2 linked regions of the Anolis sagrei genome follow. The protein of the gene in region 2 interacts with the protein of the main gene of each other region in a biochemical or structural test. Links are inferred from orthologs where the notes say so. Each region holds a gene or a part of one and is shown on either strand. Other genes may lie near its edges.

Region 1 (7,142 bases), on a different chromosome or scaffold from region 2:
AGAATGACAGTTTACCTTGATAAACTGAATGATCCCATCGGGCACACCAGTTTTACTCAGCTTCCGCAAATACTCTGTGATATCATCTGTTTGCAAACCCACGCTGACAGCAGCATAGAGAGAGTAAGCAGTCAATTTATATTCATGTATATGGGAGGGTCGGCAAACTGGCTCAGCAATGGCAACCAGAAAATCCTGGGCATATTTGTAAACAGGCGAAAAGGCTTCAAGGAAAATATGGCCATCAGGAGCCTATGAAAGGACAGAAGAATTGCAATATTATTACTCTGCAAGCAACTTAAATGCTTTGTACTGCTGCCTTTAAATATAGAAAGAAGCATAGGTAGGCATGTTCCTTCAAATTGCCTGGTGACTTACAACAACTCCATTAATGTCATAAAGTTGTCTTAAGTTAGGAATACTCAGAGTTAGTATGCCATTGACTTCCTATAGGACCGAGGGTACGTGTCCCTTCCAAGGACTAACTTGGTATTTTGGCACACCCCAGAGGTGTTTTACTCAACTGCTGTGCAATGGAACTATCCATCAGTTTTGCAATAATATTTGCATTTGTGCTTCCCAACCAGTGGCAGAATTTTTGGCTTTTGTCCAAAAGACAAATCATTTTTGAAATTTCCTGACAGCCAGAATCAGTTCATGATCTAGCATTTGGGAAGAGAAAAGAGAAAAAGTGAAAAAACTTGTTATTCAAAGAGTGAAGAGAACTCCCAGAAGTGTAACTAGATACATATTTCAGAATCACTTGACTAAAGTTTGTTGAAAATGCTAGGATCAAAATTCTCTTCCACTATGAACTGGAAAATGAAAGCTTGGAAATGTAGGTTAGATTTTTGGACGCTAGCTCCCAGAATGCGTTCTGATTCCAAGTATGATCTGGGGAAATTAGCACACGTTAACAGCCATAACGCAATGATATGGAATCATGGAAATTGAAGTTTGATGAGGCACCAGAACTCTTTGGCAGAGAAAATGAAAGTCTTTGTTAAAGTACTGCTCCCAGAATTCCACAGCATTGAGCCATAGAAGTTAAAGTACTGCCAAATTGCCAGTAACTGTGCAGATGCACCTTTGGTCAATGAGTAGGAATTGTAAAAACTGTACTCCAAAGCATTACCAAGGTCTAATCTTCCTCAGCCATTCTCAAAGCATGCCAAAGTAAGTTTCAATGTCAGTTCTTTCAGCACAGGCAAACACCTCTAGAGGTTTCCTTTAAAGAATGTGAACAAAGCTCTAAGGAAATCTCTGTGTTTGATGGCGCTTACCACCCACAGCGGGCGGGAGGAATGATCATCCTTGAGATGCATCTGGCTCCTGTAGTCCTTCGCCCCATATTCATCTACTTTTTTCTGAGAAACTTCCACTTGCTTTCCTGCTGCCGAAGGAACTGCTTCTTGTGAGTCTCTGCCTGGGATGTCGTATTCGTCCTCATTCTCCTCCTCATAGTGCCGCTTCTTAGACTTTTTCTTATCTGAAAACCAATGCAGATACGTTTCCATACATACACACATAAAAACCGTTTATAGTAGAAATTTAAAACTGCAGACAACTTTAGATTGCATAAAGTGACAAGGGCTAAAGGGATTTGCAGTTTAGTATGATCTGAAGGTATTTCCCATGCCTGGTTTAGACAACAAAACATGTTTCTATGGTTAAGGGACAATGGCTCCTTTTAACTGCCCAAGGCAAATATGGGGACTATGGTAATTCTTCCATATTCCTATTAGTTTAACTCTGAAGATCCTTTTATAGCATCTGCCCAAGAATCTGGAATAGGGTGTGTGTATATATATATATATATATATATATATATAAATTTTAATGGTTTTAATCTATTGTCATTTGTTGTCAATTTGAGGTGTGATGTTTATTTGTATGAGGCATGAATTTTGTCATGGATTATGTTGTGAACTGCTTTGAGTTCCCCCAGGGATGAGAAAAGTGGCATATATATCTATATCTATATCTATGAGGATGCTGAGGACTGAATCCAGGAGAAAAGTGTGTATTCTTCACCTTTACCCAACCCACATATTCTATACACCAGTGGTTCCCAACCTTTTTTGACCAGGGATCACTTGACCACTATCCAACATTAGTACCAAAAGGGTTACAAATCAGTTTTTGGTCAACTTTAGATTTAGTTTGGGGTGCTGATTCAGAAAACCTCATCAGCTCTAGTTTCTGATACAGAACATATGCAATCGTCAGTGACAGGGAAAGAGTGGCAGGCGGTGTGAAAGGAGTGGAAATTAAAAAAATAAAGAGGAAGGAGGCCCGTGGACCAGATTTTTGTCTTGGTGGTCCTCAGCCCACCAAGAAGCACTGCTATGCACAAAAGAGATACTTTTGTTTGGATAGGTCCAGCTTACCTATCCAAACACATCTCCCTTTATGAGGTAGCTAGAACATTAAGAATCTGCTGGGGAGGTCCTGCTCTCTGTCCCACCGCCTTCTCAGTTGTGGCCCCTTGGCTGTGCAACTTCCTTCCCAGTGAGATTAGATTGGCCCCCTCCCTCATAGTGTTCAGGAATCAACTTAAACAAGACTAGTGTTTAGGGACAGTAGTTCCTCTGAATCTGGTAGTCCTTTCTGTCTTACAGGCAGAAGGGAGTTTGAGCAAAGACTCTGAACATACTGGTGTATATTCAGCTCTCTCTCTCTCTGACATGATGTCCTGCTATGGACAGGCCTGGGCAAACCTTGGCCCTCCAGGTGTTTTGGACTCCAACTCCCAGCATTCCTCACAGCCTCAGGCCCCTTCCTTTTCCCCCTCAGCCGCTTAAGGAAGGGGCCTGAGGCTGTGAGGAATGCTGGGAGTTGAAGTCCAAAGCACCTGGAGGGCCAAGGTTTGCCCAGGCCTGCGATGGTTCCAAAGAGAACGAAGCCTCTCTCTAGTCACTCACCGCCGCGCTCCTTCTTGCCCATCTTGCCAGGCCGTGCCAGCCTCTCTCTCGGGCCGCTTCCGGGACAGAGAGCGGAGCCAATCCGGTCTCTCCCGCCCCTGAAGCCCCGCCCACCCTCGGGAGGGAAACACGGAAGGGGAGGAAGCGATGGCTCTTGCGCGTGAAAGAGGCGCGCGCGCCCGCCCAGAGAGGGGGTTTGTTTTGCAGAGGTTAAAAAAAGGATCACAGTATTCCTCAATGAATCATCTTCTCAGTGTGCTCGTCGGCGTACTTCAAAGTGTGTGTTCAATAGTTGCAATACTATACTGCGTCGTGGTTTAATTTCGATAGTGGCGGCATTGCATTGCACTTTAGTGTTGATCTTTGCTTGCCTTGCATTTCAGTCTTACTTGTTTATTTGTTTACAGTATTTCTTTTCCGCCATTCTCACCCCGCAGGGGACTCAGGGCGGATTTCAATGTACATAGTATACATGGCAAACATTCAATGCCATAGACACACAACATATATAGACAGACACACAGAGGCTATTTAACTTTCCAGCTTTTTCATGAGGGTATTCTGGCCACCAGGGGAGCTGTCGCTTCAACGTCCATTTGTGACACTGATGGAGTACTTTCTCATTCTATGCTTGCTTGCTGGAGATTTTATGGCGTCATAAATTAGTTAAATTAGCCTCCTCGCATAAGCGATACATACATTTCCTACTTGACAGATGCAACTGTCTTTCAGGCTGCAAAGGTTGACAGCAAGCTACACAATGGTCGGAAGCTCACTCCAATCCAGGCTGGCTTTGAATTCATGACCTTTCGGTCAGTAGTGATCTTAATGCAGCTGACTCCCAGCCAGTTGCACCACAGTCCTTTTCCTGTGTTTTCAGCGTTGCGTGTCTTAAGACAGTTGCAGCAGAGCCTTCCCTTTTAATTTTGATCCCTGCTTTTGGTTTTGAAGGCCATAGTGCTAATAACCAAGTGGCATTTGAAGCATGATTGTTAGTGTGTTTTTAATGTTGTGTGTTCTAAATAGTTGTAGTATTGCAAATAGTTGCACTGGATTTTAATATTGCCATTTAACTCGTTGTATGCCATCATTTGCAATTTATGGAGACCCTATCATGGGATTTCCTTGGCGAGGTTTGTCCAGAGGGAGTTGTCTTCCTCAGAGGCTGAGGGAGTGTGACTTGTTTGAGCTCACTTTCTGTGTTTCCATAGTTGAGTGGGGATTCAAACACTGATCTCCAGAGTCCAAGGCCTCTTCTGCACTGCCATATAATCCAGATTATCACTTTGTGTGTTTCCATGGTTGAGTGGGGATTCAAACGCTGGTTTCGAGATTCTAAGGCCTCTTCTACACTGCCATATAATCCAGATTATCAAATCAGATAATCCATATTATCTGCTTTGAACAGGATTATGTATATGAGTCTACAGTGCCATACACTGAGCAAAAAGTTGGCAGTTCAAATCCAGGGAGCGGAGTGAGCTCCTGTTAGCCCCAGCTTCTGCCAAACTAGTAGTTCGAAAACATACAAATGTCAGTAGATCAATAGGTACCGCTTTGGCGGGAAGGTAGCGGTGCTCCATGCAGTCATGCTGGCCACATGATCTTGGAGGCATCTACGGATAACACCAGCGCTTCAGCTTAGAAATGGAGATGAGCACCACCCCAGAGTTGGACTCCACTGGACTTAATGTCAGGGGAAAACCTTTACATTGCCATATAATCCTGTGTAAAGCAGATAATCTGGACTTTGTATGGCAGTGTAGGAGGGGCCTCAATTCAACATTCTCACCATTACATCCCTTTTAACTTTAATTGGAATTAGAAATTTCCTTTTAAATGGTCACTTTATGCAAGGTGTACAAACTGTCCTCCCTGCGCAGCAATGCATTTTGTATTGTTAAAGCAAAGTTGCAAACTGAAAATCGCTCATTTCGTGACACTTCTCTGATATTTTGCAAAATCATTGCAATTCTTCCCCACCCCCTACAATTATAAATTGTTCAATATCTGTACATTTTGGGGGCACCCTGAATGTAAGGCCCCTTAAGTCCCAGTTTTGGGAAAAGACAATGTATAAATATCCTTCTGAGGCGCCTCGCAGGAATGGGCCTTGAAGGAACTGCTTTGCAGTGGCTTCAGTCCTTCCTCAAGGGTCGTTCCCAGAAGGTGTTGTTGGGGTACTCCTGCTGGGCTTTGCTGCCATTGTCCTGTGGGGTCCTGCAGGACTCATTATTGTCCCCTATGTCCCCTATGTTATTCAACATATACATGAAGCCGTTAGGGGAGATCATCCGGAGTTTTGGGGTGCGGTGTCACCTGTACACAGATTATGTCCAACTCTGTCACTCCTTCCCACCTGCTACTAAAAAGGCTGTGCAAGTCCTGAACCAGTGCTTGGCCACTGTAATGGACTGGATGAGAGTGAACAAATTGAAACTAAATTCAGACAAGACAGGTCCTCCTGGTCAGTCACAAGGCCGAACAGGGCATAGGGTTACAGCTTGTGCTTGATGGGATTACACTGCCCTTGAAGGCGAGGTTCGCAGCTTGGGAGTGATCCTGGACTCATCGCTAAACCTGGAACCCCAGATTTCGGCGGTGACCAGGAGAGCTCTTGCACAGTTAAAGCTTGTGCGCCAGCTGCACCCGTACCTTGGGAAGTCTGACTTGGCCATGGTAGTCCACGTTCTGGTTACATCCCGTATAGACTACTGCAACACTCTCTATGTGGGGTTGCCTCAGAAGACTGCCCGGAAGCTGCAATAAGTACAATCGTCGGCAGCCAGGCTACTAATGGGAGCGGGGTTACAGGGAGTGCACAACTCCCTTGTTGTGGCAGTTCCACTGGCTGTCAATTAGCTTCCGAGCACAATTCAAAGTGCTGGTTTTAACCTACAAAACCCTTTACGGTTCCGGCCCAGTTTACCTGTCTGAACATATTCTCCCATATGAATCAAGGGCATTAAGATCTTTCGGAGAGGCCCTGCTCTCGGTCCCGCCACTTTTGCAGTCACATCTGGTGGGGACGAGACAGGGCCTTTTCTGTGGTGGCCTCCGGCTATAGAATGAAATTAGATCTGCCCCCTCCCTCCCATCCTTTAGGAAGCAAGTAAAATCCTGGTTTTGGAGCGAGGCATTTCCAGAGTGGTTGAGACCAGAAATTGACTAAAGTTATTGACCACAATGTGCGGACTGAGTTGGACGTTGTTTTTACCTTGGCAAATTGGTTTATATGTATTTTATCTTATATGTAATTTAACCTATTGTATCATGTTTTAAAAGGTATTATTGTTGGCATTGAATTCTTGCTGTTAGCCGGTCTGAGTCCCTCTATGGAGGTAGAGAAGATCAGGATACAAAAGTTTCAAATAAATAAATAAATAAATAAATAAATAAGATAATTATGATAATATAGAAAACTCATCCTTAAGTACCATAAGTAATTCTCAGAGATGTTTTATCTTGTCCTATTTTTTATGCATTGATACAGAGGTAGCCTGGAACAATTCAAAGACAAGAAGGTGCAAGTTTTTCAAAATACCAGTAACTGGCTATCAAAATTAATGATACACAGAGCTCACATTTTCTTTTTAAAGAAATAATCCAATTTGGTTAATTTTTTGGCATGCAACAAGTTCTGAATCTGTTTTAATCACATTATAACTACCTGTAATGGTAATGAATTTCAGATATACAGACAGTCCCCGAGTTACATTTGATTTACAAAAGACTCATAGTTAAGAACAGAGGCAGGGGACAACAGAAAGTGAAAGAAAAATACTCCCAGAAAGGGAATTTCACTCCTGAAAGAGCTCTCATGGGGAAAGGTGTCTCAGCTGAAGCTTTATCACCAATCCTTGTTTCCACAACAAGCCAAATTTTGCAAAATCTAATTATCACAGGAACGGAAAGTGAGGAGAAATCTTCTGAATAGGATCACAGACGGCAAAACAAACATTACGTTAACCCTTCCCAAAGTTATCCAAAGCCAAAGAATATACATTTTTGGATGGAATTACACTTTACAAATTAGATTTAAGAATAAACCTACAGAACCAATCTTGTTTGTAATTTGGGGACTGTCTGTACTAGCTTTTTCTTGCAATTTGTCTTGGTTTTTTCTTAAAATACCCACACACTGGATTTTTGGCATCTATATAATGGCATGCTTTCCAATCCTCAAATAAAGAATATTCTTCAAAATAGGCATGATTT
Region 2 (6,889 bases):
GAGTTCCACTGCTAAATAGCACTTACATTCAGGAAATTCTTCCTAATATTCACATGGAACCTCCTTTCCTGGAATTTGAACCCATTGTTCCAGTGAGTGCCCAACTCCAGGGCATGTCTGCTCCCTATTCCTTATGATATCCTTTCACATATTTATCCATGGCTATGATGTCTCCTCTCAACCTTCTCTTCTGCAGGCTAAACATCCCCAGCTCTTTACGATGCTCTTCATAGGGCATGGTCTCCAGACCTTTGAACATTTTAGGGCCCTTCCACACTGCCCTTCATCCCAGGATCTGATCCCAGATTATCTGCTTTAAACTGGAATGTATGTGTCCCCAATGCCAGATAAACTGGGATCAGATTCTGGGATAAAGGGGCAGTGTGGAAGAGCCCTTATAATCATAGAATCCTAGAGTTGGAAGAGACCTTATGGGCCACCCAGTCCAACCCCCTGCCAAGAAGCAGGAATATTCACTTCAAAGCAGATAATCTGGATTTTATATGGTAATGTAGAAGGGGCATGGGTGAGAGGAATAACAGGAACACAGAGGGGAAATGGTTTAACTCAGGCATGAGCAAACTTGGACCCTCCAGGTGTTTTGGACTTCAACTCCCACAATTCCTAACAGCCTACCAGAGCAGTCTGGCTTTAGGCCGGGACATGGTACTGAGACAGCCTTGGTCGCCTTAGTGGATGATCTTTGCCGGGAACTAGACAGGGGGAGTGTGTCCCTGTTGGTTCTGCTGGACCTCTCATCGGCCTTCGATACTGTCAACCACGGTATCCTTCTGGGACGCCCGCGGGAATGGGCCTTGGGGGTACTGCTTTGCAGTGGCTCCAGTCCTTCCTCGAGGGTTGTTCCCAGAAGGTGTTACTAGGGGACTCCTGCTCGACCCCACGGCCATTGTAATGTGGAGTCCTGAAGGGTTCAGTAGTGTCCCCTATGTTATTTAACATATACATGAAGCCGTTGGGAGAGATCATCCGGAGTTTTGGGGTTCGGTGTCTTCTGTACGCAGATGATGTCCAACTCTGTTACTCCTTCCCACCTGCTACTAAGGAGGCTGTTCAAGTCCTGAACCGGTGCTTGGCCGCTGTAGCGGACAGGATGAGGGCGAACAGATTGAAATTAAATCCAGACAAGACGGAGGTACTCCTGGTCAGTCGAAAGGCCGAACAGGGCATAGGGTTACAGCCTGTGATCGACGGGGTTACACTTCCCCTGAAGACGCAGGTTCGCAGCTCAGGAGTGATCCTGGACTCATCGCTGAGCCTGGAACCCCAGGGGAGCTTTTGCATAATTAAAACTTGTGCGCCAGCTGCGCCCGTACCTTGGGAAGTCTGACTTTGCCACGGTGGTCCACGCTCTGGTTAGATCCCGTATAGACTACTGCAATGCTCTCTACATGGGGTTGCCTCTGAAGACTGCTCGGAAGCTGCAATCAGTCCAACGAGCGGCAGCCAGATTACTAACAGGAGCGGGGTACAGGAAGCATATTACTCCTCTGTTGCGCCAGCTCCACTGGCTGCCAATTAGCTTCCGAGCACAATTCAAAGTGCTGGTGTTGACCTACAAATGCCTAAACAACTCCGGCCCAGTTTCCCTATCGGAACGGATTCTCCCATATTTATTTATTTGGAGTGCTTCTACCCTGCCCTTCTCAACTCAGGGCGGCTTACAAAAATAGGTACAATTCGATGCTCAACAATTCACAAAGTACAATATACAAAATACAATATAACGACGTTATAACTAGTTAAAACAATCAAATTAATACAATAGCAGCAATAAAATCATCTTGTGGTCAACGTTCGCCAATTCATACATTCATAATCCATCCAGCATTGTCATTGTCCTTTTCTACTCTGGTCATCATTGTCTTTTATCCATCTGCCAGCTTACCCAAAGGCCTGGTCCCAAATCCAGGTTTTTAACTTCCTCCTGAAGGAGAGGAGGGATGTTGATGACCTAATTTCCCCGGGGAGTGCATTCCACAGGTGAGGGACCATCACCGAGAAAGCCCTGTCCCTCGTCCCCACCAGTCTCACTTGTGATAAAGGTGGGGCCGAGAACAGGGCCTCCCCAGAAGATCTTAAACTTCCGAGGTGGGATGTGGAAGGAGATACGTTCGGACAAGTATGCTGGGCCGGAGCCGTAAAGGATTTTGTAGGTCAAAACCAGCACTTTGAATTGTGCTCGGAAGCTATGAACCTTCAAGGTTGTTAAGATCTTCTGGAGGGGCCCTGCTCTCGGTCCCACCATCCTCGCAATCGCGTTTGGTGGGGACGCCTTTTTGGTGGTGGCCCCTTGGCCCTGGAACTCTTTCCCATTGGAAATTAGAACTGCCCCTTCCCTCCTGACCTTTAGAAAGTTGGTGAAAACCTGGCTTTGGAATCTGGCATTTGATGAATGAGGCAATGACTTTTGACCACACGGACAGATGGGGACGCATAGTGATTTTTATACTAACGACTTGCTTTATATATGATGATAGTGCTTTAATGTGTTTATATTAGTGTATTATTGATGTGATGTTTTTAAACTATTGTGCATGAACTCCCTTGTTGTAAACAGGCCTGAGTCCCTCGTTGGAGGTGAGAAGACCGGTATATAAAAGTTCTAAATAACACCCCCTCCCCTTCTCTGTCCAGCTCCCCTTTTAGCCTCCGTCCGGATAATGGCATAGTTATACCCAACACGCGTGCAAGCTTCTTGCCACAGGTGACCACACTCTCCCTGCTGCTTTTCTTCCTGAGGCAGATGTATTCTGGCCCGCCGCCATCCGAGTGTTTTCCCTTGAAGAGCACAGAATAGCAACACAAGCCCACCAAGCTACTCCCTCAAGAAAGAGGCCCTCGGGGCAGGCAAGGGTTGGAGCCGGTACAGCCCTCGGACTGACCTGTGAGGGACCCAAAAGCCAAGCTCCTTCGCCGCGAGACCCTCAGCGCGCGCGGGCGTGCGTCACGACTCTGCCTCCAAACACGATTCCGCTTGACGTCACTACTAAGCGACGCCTGGCGTTCCTCGCGCCTCCCCGCTCCTTCCTCGGCCAATAGGAAGGAAGCGACTGGCCAGTGGGCGGAATAGGAAGTGGCTCTTGGTCGGCGAGGAGGGATGGCGGCCCTGGAGCGGGTGAAAGTGCTGGTGCTGGGCGACTCCGGTGAGTGGAAGGGAAAGGGAAGGAATCACACTCGCCATGACGCTTCCAGGCCGCAAGCGTTTCCTATGTTGCAAACTGTGTTCCATAATGCTTGTAAGGGTTTTAATCACTTGGTTTTTAAATGGTACTAGTATTACAGGCATGGGCAAACTTGGGCTCTCCGGGTGTTTTGGACTTCATAGAATCCTAGAGTTGGAAAAGACCTCAGGGGCCATCCAGTCCAACCCCCTGCCAAGAAGCAGGAATGTTGCATTCAAATCACCCCTGACAGATGGACATCCAGCATCTGTTTAAAAGCTTCCAAAGAAGGAGCCTCCACCACACTCCGGGGCAGAGAGTTCCACTGCTAAACGGCTCTCACAGTCAGGAAGTTCTTCCTCATGTTCAGATGGAATCTCCTCTATTGTAGTTTGAAGCCATTGTTTCGTGTCCTAGTCTCCAGGGAAGCAGAAAACAAGCTTGCTCCCTCCTCCCTGTGGCTTCCTCTCACATATTTATACATGGCTATCATATCTCCTCTCAGCCTTCTCTTCTTCAAGCTAAACATGTCCAGCTCCTTAAGCCGCACCTCATAGGGCTTGTTCTCCAGACCCTTGATCGTTTTAGTCGCCCTCCTCTGGACACATTCCAGCTTGTCAATATCTCTCTTGAATTGTGGTGCCCAGAATTGGACACAATATTCCAGATGTGGTCTAACCAAAGCAGAATAGAGGGGTAGCATTACTTCCCTAGATCTAGACACTATGTTCCTATTGATGCAGACCAAAATCCCATTGGCTTTTTTTGCCGCCACATCACATTGTTGGCTCATGTTTAACTTGTTGTCCACGAGGACTCCAAGATCTTTTTCACACGTACTGCTCTCAAGCCAGGCATTGTCCCCCATTCTGTATCTTTGCATTTCATTTCTTCCTGCTAAAATGGAGGAAAAGTTTACTATTTATTTATTTATTTATTTGCTTCACTTTTATACCGCATATTTCAGCCCTTGACAGGCGACTCTATGCGGTTTACAGTGCAATTAAAAACACAGCAATAAAACAACCGGGATGACAACGTCGCTCCACAATTAACATCAGACAGACAAATCAACAAACAACATATATAGCGCCTTCGTTAAAGTCAGATCCATTCTCATAGTCATTGTGCCGTTCCTATGTTCAGTTACCGTCTTCCTTAGTTAGTTGCATTGCCTAGCCAAACGCTTGTTCGTAAAGCCAGGTCTTGACCATTCTCCGAAACGCCAGCAACGAAGGTGCCTGTCTGATGTCTGCTGGTAAGGCATTCCATAGCCGAGGGGCCACCACTGAGAAGGCCCTGTCTCTCGTCCCCGCCAAGCGCACCTGTGACGCAGGCGGGATCGAGAGCAGGGCCTCCCCAGACGATCTTAATATTCTAGTCGGTTCGTAGGCGGAAATGCGTTCGGAGAGGTAAGCGGGGCCAGAACCGTTTAGGGCTTTATAGGCCAAGGCCAGCACCTTGAATTGAGCCCGGTAGCGGATTGGCAGCCAGTGGAGCTGGCTCAGCAGAGGAGTGGTGTGCTCCCTGAGTGCCGCTCCTGTTAGCAACCTGGCTGCCGAGCGCTGGACCATCTGAAGCTTCCGGGCCGTCTTCAAGGGCAACCCCACGTAGAGCGCGTTGCAGTAATCAATCCGGGATGTGACCAGAGCGTGGACCACCGTGGCCAAGTCCGACTTCCCAAGGTACAGGCGCAGCTGGCGCACAAGTTTGAGTTGTGCAAATGCTCCCCTGGACACCGCCGAGACCTGGGGTTCCAAGCTTAGCGAGGAGTCCAGGATCACACCCAAGCTGCGAACCTGCATCTTCAGGGGGAGTGTAACCCCGTCCAACACAGGCTGTAACCCTATACCCTGTTCGGCCCTCCGACTGACCAGGAGTGCCTCTGTCTTATCTGGATTCAATTTCAATTTGTTCGCCCTCATCCAGTCCGATACAGCGGCCAAGCAACGGTTCAGGACCTGAACAGCCTCCTTAGTAGTAGGTGGGAAGGAGTGACAGAGTTGGACGTCATCTGCGTACAGATAACACCGCACTCCGAAACTCCGGATGATCTCTCCCAACGGCTTCATGTAGATGTTAAATAACATGGGGGACAATATAGAGCCCTGCGGAACCCCACAAGTCAATGGTTGTGGGGTAGAGCAGTTGTCCCCCAGCAACACCTTCTGAGTACGATCCTCTAGGAAGAACCTGAGCCACTGCAGAGCAGTGCCACCAAGGCCCATTCCCGCGAGGTGACTCAGAAGGATACCGTGGTCGACGGTATCGAAGGCCGCTGAGAGGTCCAGCAGAACGGATTAAGCTAAGATGGATTAAGCTGTATTTTGATTTGCATTACTGAATTCTCTATCTTCTGAACAACTCTGATGCACTCTTTTGTGAGACTACTGCAAATGTTATCCTTGAGATGAGTCACTTTTCAGGATGTTTCTTTTATCTGTGATTTTCTCAGGTTGGGCATACAACATGAGGAAATACAACATTAGGATGCTGTGCATACAACATTAGGAGGCTGATTTTGTTGTTGTGTGCCAATAAAGCAGACATGAGCAAACTTGGGCTCTCTGGGTGTTTTGGATTTCATCTTCCACCATTCCTTACAGCCTCAGGCCCCTTCCTTTCTTTCCTTTGTTTATTTATTTCAAACTCCTGCTTCTTGGCAGGGGGTTGGACTGGATGGCCCATGAGGTCAGAGATGGCCCTAGGTAATTTTCAATGATAAGCAAACAGTATTTTGCCCCCCCCCCCTCAACCAATCACTGATATATATTTTTTGTTCGTGGGAGTTCTGTGTGCAATATTTGGTTCAATTCCATCATTGGTGGAGTTCAGAATGCTCTTTGATTGTAGGTGAACTATACATCCCAGTAACAACACCTCGCATATGTCAAGGTCTATTTTCCCCCAAGAGCCCCTCAAGAGCGCCCTTGGGCAAAATCAACTATACTACGAATGCTTACTTTGCATAATGGGTTGAGCCGCCCCTGCATGTGGTCTCTTCCAACTCTATGATTCTATGATATGCAAAACAAATGGTTTTTCAAAGTGCATGATACATACAATATGCAATATTGTATTGCAATATACAAAATGCTGAGATCTTGGCTTCTACAGCAAGGTTTTGCAAAGAACTCCAAAGGGTATACTGTAAACTTCCCTGTTACACTCTACTGATTGTAGCAAAGAAACATTTGCTTTTAATGACACATGCAGTGCACCTACATATGGATTCTTCCTTTCTTCACACACATACATCTACGGTAAACTTAGTACTGAGCCTCATAAAAACTTACCCAGATTTCTATAAACCTTTACAAAATCTACCCTAGTGGGATTTTTTCTCATCAGGGTCACTTTTCAAAACAACAACTCTTCTTTCTCAAATAAAAAGTAAACCTTCAAGAAATACTATCCTTATTACAAAACCGATTTTTGTGGGAATCAGTGTGCAGGTATAAAACAGCACATATACAGTATCCCACATATTGCCTTTGATTGATAATACTATCAATATAACAAAATTTGAAAAAAAAATCTGTTCCTTGTTTGAAAGTGTTATTTCCTGTTTCATTGTGTGGTGCTTACTTTGAAACTAGTTGTTATACTCCAGAAACTTTATGTGGCTGCTGCAAACTATGTTGAATTAGTTGAGACTCTGAGATATTCATGGAAAGACTATAGCAAAATCTGCTGCAGGATGTCCC

The links.
Region 1: the proteins of GTF2E1 (region 2) and ERCC3 form a complex in vitro, tested with the Homo sapiens proteins (2 studies listed by BioGRID). The link is inferred for Anolis sagrei from reciprocal best matches to the Homo sapiens genes GTF2E1 and ERCC3.

What each region holds. Positions count from the first base shown.
Region 1 is NC_090021.1:226,492,300-226,499,441, forward strand, and holds the start of ERCC3 (general transcription and DNA repair factor IIH helicase/translocase subunit XPB), read right to left. Parts: upstream 3,023-7,142; 5' UTR 2,947-3,022; coding exon 2,925-2,946; intron 1,490-2,924; coding exon 1,284-1,489; intron 253-1,283; coding exon 16-252; intron 1-15. UniProt on the Homo sapiens protein: ATP-dependent 3'-5' DNA helicase/translocase. Binds dsDNA rather than ssDNA, unzipping it in a translocase rather than classical helicase activity. Component of the general transcription and DNA repair factor IIH (TFIIH) core complex.
Region 2 is NC_090022.1:165,541,954-165,548,842, reverse strand, and holds the start of GTF2E1 (general transcription factor IIE subunit 1), read right to left. Parts: upstream 3,015-6,889; 5' UTR 2,904-3,014; intron 1-2,903. Other genes in the region: RABL3 (rab-like protein 3), read left to right, coding at 3,119-3,164.